Linked DNA regions of Ovis aries. The protein of the gene in region 1 purifies or fractionates together with the protein of each later gene. This does not show direct contact. Links are inferred from orthologs where the notes say so. Each region holds a gene or a part of one and is shown in the gene's direction. Other genes may lie near its edges. The genes, in order: NUP43 and NUP133.

Region 1 (3,831 bases):
TGATCTGTAAGACTTCAGAGTCCCTGCATTTTCTTCTGTGGAAAGCTGCCTGACCCTGGGAATTATACTCTCCTAAACGTTTATGGTAGTTGTACAAAATTAAATCAATTGTAGATGAACAGGTTTGAGGGGGGAAATTATTGTTGTTTATTCTTCATGAAAATACTTTTATTTGTATAGCAGTTTTGACTTTGGCATTTTATTTGCTTAGCATTTGTAGGTTCTTTGCATTTTAAAATTGTTACACTGCTAATTGAGTTAGATAAATGGGCTTCTTCCCTGCTGATATTTATGAATTTATAACATGCAGGAATTTTCTGTTTAGTTTTTGGACCAGGAAAGAATTGTAGCTGCTTCATCGACAGGATGTGTGACAATTTTCCTCCACCATCCAAATAACCAGGTAAAGAATTTTTGTTTGAAAACTCAGTTTGCATTTTAATTATTTTTAGGAAGGCTTAAAGAAGGCTATACTTAATAATGACAAATTATAAAGTTTTATTGTCTCAAAAACTATAAAAAGGAGGGGAAAATGTCATTGCATTACCCATCTTTTAGTTGACTAATTCTAGAACCATTTCTGTGTGAACTTTCATTGAAATTGGGTAACTCTTCAATTTTCTTAGGTTCCATGTAACAGTATGGTATTCTGGCAAGTGATTTTCCTGTAACTTTCTGTTAAGATCCTCCTCTGGTTTTCTGAAGAGAGAAAGAGCACTTTCTAGCTCAGACATCATGAGAGGGAGCAGGAACAGCTACTCTACTTCTGTGAACAGAACCGAGGTTGTAATTAGAAGGAAAGATACACTATATGAAGGCTTGATACTTTTTCTATGCTTTTCTTATATGTCAAAGGCTAAGAGTGCTGACTTTCAGAGCATAGTTTAAGGGCAGTCCTTTAAAATAGGCCCACTTGAAGTTAACAGTTTTAAGTTGCTGGAAGAGAATGCTTATTTAGATTTGGATATTGATAAAGGTCATCTTACTAATAGACATGCCTAGTAAGTATAAGACCCAGATCTAGTTAAATGTTATTCTTACAGAATCATCTGGAAAGCCCTGCAGAGATTTATCTCTTCAATGTAGATCAGTTCCCTTAAGAATTTAGAGTTGTCTTTGAACACATAATTACCTGATGCTTAAAAACTGTTTCTTTAGTTTGAGATAAGTTTGGAATATTATTAAACAGGGTTTCTTTGGAATCTGATCTGGTGAATACAGAGCTTTAATGGAAGTATTTCCTAGACCTTAATACTTTGAAATACAAAGCGAAAAGAGTACTATTTTTCTAGAAAGGTATGAAACACAGTTTTAAAATAATAGTGTAGTTAGGGAAAGTGCTAATTATTTGGAGCTTTGCTTTAATTAATCATAGCCTCATTTCTGACACCTAGACTCTGTCAGTCAGCCAGCAGTGGACAGCAGCTCACTACCACACGGGTCCAGGCAGTCCTTCCTGTAGCAATGCACCATGCACAGGTGTTGTGTGCAACAACCCAGAAATTGTCACAGTTGGAGAAGATGGTCGGATAAATCTCTTCAGAGCTGATCACAAGGAAGCTGTAAGAACTATAGGTAAGAAAAATCATCTTTCTTTGGTCTATCTTATAGTAATTCAGCACCTCCTGTGTGCAGTGCCAGGGGTTAAATGTTTGAGGGATTTAGAAATATACAAAGCAGGATCCCTTTATCAAGATAGTATGTTGATAAGGCCTGTATGAAGGACTGACTAGAAGAAAGAGAAATTTGTGGGGAGGATGGTTGGAAGGAATTACTGGATAAAGAATTGAGGGGCAGGGCAATTCATTTAATCTAGATTCTAGACCATAAATAATACTGAGAAGTGGCACGCCAGATAAAGGGAATAGCATAGAGGCGGGGTAAGGCCAGTCAGAGAATGACAGAAAGTGTAGTTTGACCTGACTTTAGATATTTGTGTAGGAGAATTGAGAGATGAAACAAGAAAGGTAGATTGCAGTCAGGTTGTGAAAGATAATACCTTTTTTTAGGTAGACAGCTAAGGAGACATTGAAAGTTTTTGAGCAAAGGGGTAATGTACCCACATCGTGTTTTAGAAGGATTATTTAGTGCAGTGGTAGTGGTTTAGTTGCTAAATCATGTCTGACTAGTGTAGTAGTTCTCAACCATATTTTGCACAGACTTGCCCGAGGAGATTTTTAACAGCCCATCACCCTAGACCTCTTGAATTAGAACTTCTATGGATTGAGCCCATGAATCAGTTTTTTGTATTATTATTATCATTTTTAGTTCTGAGAAATACCATTTGTTTAGCTTTGAAAGACTGCTGGCCTGGTGACAGTTTGGAGAAGGGTCACAAAATAAAAGTCTTTAAGTATATACTAAATAAAGATGTATAAGCTTAGACACACTAGAAAAAGCAGAAGGACCATTAAGGCAAACAGGAAGAACTTCATGGCAGAAAAGAGAGCTGATAAGGATAAAGATGAATCAATTTGAGATGAGTCAGCAGAATAATACAGGGTCAGATTGAGCTCTGTAGGAAGCTGTGGTGTTTGGCCCAACAGAATGGAGGTTCTGGATGAAGCACTTGAGTTCAGTTGCTCTTTGCGACCCCATGGACTGCAGCCCTGTCCATCACCAACTCCTGGAGCTTGCTCAAGCTCATATCCATTGAGTCAGGGATGCCATCCAACCATCTCATCCTCTGTCGTCCCCTTCTCCTGCCTTCAATCTTTGCCAGCATCAGAGTCTTTTCCAGTGAGTCAGTTCTTCACATCAGGTGGCCAAAGGATTGGAGTTTCAGCTTGAGCATCAGTCCTTCTAAAGAATATTCAGGACTGATCTGCTTTAGGATGGACTGGTTTGATCTCCTTGCAGTCCAAGGGACTCTCAAGAGTGTTCTCCAACACCACAATTCAAAACCATCAATTCTTTGGCACTAAGCTTTCTTTAAAGTCCAACTTTGACATCCATACATGACTAGTGGAAAAACCGTATCTTTGACTGGATGGACCTTTGCTAGCAAATAATGTCTGCTTTTTAACATGATGTCTAGGTTGTCTAGGGTGAAGCAGTGGTGGGAGATAAAATTGGATTATAAAGAAACTTGAACAGCTGTCTCAGAAATGTAGTACTCTTAAGTGGAAATAGAGAAATATATGAAAACTTAGTCCTCTAGTTGGAAAACAGTTCAGATGTCCTGTGAGTAATATAATTTTTCTATCAAAGGAGAGTCCATTTTAACATATGTTCCTATATTTTTCCATAGAAATAAAATTGTGACTTATTTAAAGTTTCACTTGTAATTTTTCAGTCAACAGAGGGAACACTGTTTAAGGTATTCATGGAAAAGTGGTGCCCTGTTAACATACACTGCAGTTTTCTTAATTTACAGACAATGCAGATAGCAGTACACTCCATGCTGTAACCTTCCTTCGAACTCCTGAGATTCTTACAGTAAATTCAATTGGACAGTTAAAAATATGGGATTTTAGACAACAAGGAAATGAGCCCACGCAGATATTATCACTGTAAGTTTTGATCTGTAATTTCAGTAGTATAAAGCAAATTTGTTTATTTGTAGCAACTAACTTTATAAGCCATATTGTATTTCAATTGCATGTTAAGAGTAATTTCTGATTAACTTTGATAAAGCAAATACAGTTGACCCTTGAACAATATAAGCATTAGAGTCACTGACCCTCTATACACTCGAAAATCCATGTATACTTTATAGTTGGCACTCTACCAGGAATCCTCTGTACCAAAGGTTCCACCTTCCCAGATTCAACCAAGCTTGGATCATGTAGCAAAGTATATTTACTATTGAAAAATACTCATATATAAGTG
Region 2 (2,627 bases), on another chromosome or scaffold:
CGCAGATAAAAAGTCTTTATTGAAAGTGTGTTGATTGTAATGAATGATATATAAATATTGCAGATTAAGTCTCATAGCATTTCTTATAAGATTTTTATTGTATAGTAACTAAGTACCAACAGTGGTGCTAGGCACTTAGATGATGTTAAAAATAAACAGTATTTGATTTTGAGAAGCTTGTGGTAATGTGACAGGTTATAAAATGTTACCTTATTAATTTAAAATGTTTCTTCCAATTTTCTTTATTTATCAAATGAGAAAATTGTATATGCTGTTCTGTAACTACACAGATGCTTTTTGGCTTTCCAGGTCCACAGGGGACTGACAAAGGCGTGGTTTCCCTCCTCCTAGTCTCAGAGAGAAACTGCCAGTATGTTAGATACTGCAGATAGCTTTCATGGCAGTGTTCCACTATATTATTTCCTGAATAGGAGAATATAGAATTGTTGGAAATACTTGTTTTCTTTTTTATTTTTAAAGAATTTTATATGTCTTTTCAAAAATAAACTTGAAATACAAAAGAAAGTTGATCAAAATCAAGGAAAATATATATTACCAAAGTTGACTCTGGAAATTAATTTTAAAAAAATTAAGTGAACCAATTACCCTAGGAAAAAAAACATTAAAAACCAGTTCTCAAATAAGCACCTCTGCAGTCAGGCATTTCTGGAGTGTGGGGAGACCACCCATCCAGGTGAAACAGTGGGTCTTTGATCTGGGGGACAGATAAATGTCTGAAAGTCTTTTAAGAGGGTATAGTATAACTTTGTCTTCCTTGATAACTCGGGATTCCTGTCTTAACAAATTTTACAACTGGTTTATAAGCAATCTTTCACTGATACCTTCTACTTCTTTTACTGTATAGCTGCTTAGAATGCTGTTTGCTTGGCCCTGAAATACTTGTTTTCAAGTGATTATTAACTTAAAACTTCCACACTGAAGGAATGGCCTAAGCTATGGAGAAAAATGAAAATGTTGCAGATTGTTTTAAAGGCTTGAAATGGAATGGCTGTTTTGACGGCTCTTTTGACCACTAGAGTCAAACACGGAGCCCAGATACATAGAACAGTCATGTAGCCCCTACTAAGTGAAGACTGTCATATTGTCAGGCCTGTGAGTATGCTTGGCAGATGGAAGGAATTTAGAACAGAGTATTTTCCAATAGCAGAGTGACGTTATATTTTAAATAGAAGCACAGGTGTTTCTATCATCTGTCATCTTAATTCATTTGAGAATTATGTGAAAATTAAAAAAAAAAACAAAACTGTCTGTGTTTGTATTTTTAGGCATTCAGCTCAGTGAGTACCTACCCGAGGTGAAGGAGCTGCTGCAGGCCGACCAGCTGGGAAGTTTGAAGTCCAACCCTTACTTTGAGTTTGTTTTGAAAGCCAATTACGAATACTATGTCCAGGGACAAATGTGACTTTTTCTTAAAATGATTATTTTTCCTTAAAATTTATATAAGTGTGTCCTTATAAAAACTTTAGACCTTAAACATCTAGGAGTTTGTACAGTTTTATAACATATATTTCTGAGTTTTTTATACTTTATTTGTAAGCTACTACAAAATAGTTTTATGACTGTAGTTTTGGTTTTCAGTTACATGATACTGGTTTTTTTTTTCCTGTTTTCCACTGAAGTTTATCAGTTGTTTTCATATCTACTACTGTTCCTTTTTTTCTCACTCCATCCAGGGTCCTGGTTCCAGCTTCTTGTATGCAAAGACCACTTCTAGGCTTTAGCTTCTATAACTCTAAAAACAGCAAGATTTCACTAAGTCGTCTCTGAAATTGCTGTGACTCTTCGATGTTATGTACTGCAAAGTGTCTGGAATATTTGTTTTGATTTTGATTAGGGCTGGGAGCAGAATATCTACTGGGATAAGTGTCACAATTTGCTAACTTATAAAATAGACAAAACAAAAAGTGGGGCAATTCAGTGTGAGCTTGATAACTGTTTACTTCATTGGGAAAGATGTCAAATTTTTCTACATAAATAATAGTATTAATAAAAATATCTTGGTGAATAAAGCGTATTTACGTTTTCTAGTATTCTTGCCTGGGAAATCCCATGGACAGGAGCCTGGCGGGCTACAGTCCATAAGGTCGCAAAACATCGACATGGCTTAGCAATTAAACCACCACCACCACAACCTATTCAGTCAGCGTCATGCATTTCAGAATGATTTACACTGAACTCCAGCTTCTCCTCAGTCTGTCTAGCTAATGTAAGGTGTGAAACCTTTATAGAAACCTTTATCGGTTTTCTTAGTATGGCAACTGATTTAACTGAAAAGTAGTCGTTCTCAAAGCTTCTTTGTCTTGGCCAGTGTCATCGTGCAGTTTTTATCTGTCTTTAAATAAAGACGGAGTTGCTGGCATATTCAGGCTTTGGCCCAGTTGAATACTCACTAAACAACTTGGTTCCAGCAGCTGAAAAGGTCAGGAGTTAAATGTGGTGAAGAGTCCGGTTCCTGGCTTCGCAGAGCTCAGCCCTCGTGCCGGCTCCACTGCAGGCTGCAGATGCTGCCTCTGATCTGCTCCCAGTGGTAACCAGAGGGCAAGAAGGGGCCGCCCGGCCTCTGGCCTCTGTCTGCATTGCCATGGTGAGGCAGCGTGAGATCAGGG

Evidence for each region.
Region 2: the proteins of NUP43 (region 1) and NUP133 purify together in Homo sapiens (affinity purification with mass spectrometry; 5 studies listed by BioGRID and IntAct, counting the BioPlex papers as one, with this or other methods). This does not show direct contact. The link is inferred for Ovis aries from reciprocal best matches to the Homo sapiens genes NUP43 and NUP133.

The regions. Positions count from the first base shown.
Region 1 is NC_056061.1:74,004,657-74,008,487, reverse strand, and holds part of NUP43 (nucleoporin Nup43), read left to right. Parts: intron 1-325; coding exon 326-403; intron 404-1,394; coding exon 1,395-1,575; intron 1,576-3,376; coding exon 3,377-3,512; intron 3,513-3,831. UniProt on the Homo sapiens protein: Component of the Nup107-160 subcomplex of the nuclear pore complex (NPC). The Nup107-160 subcomplex is required for the assembly of a functional NPC.
Region 2 is NC_056078.1:970,770-973,396, reverse strand, and holds the end of NUP133 (nuclear pore complex protein Nup133), read left to right. Parts: intron 1-1,286; coding exon 1,287-1,423; 3' UTR 1,424-2,035; downstream 2,036-2,627. UniProt on the Homo sapiens protein: Involved in poly(A)+ RNA transport. Involved in nephrogenesis.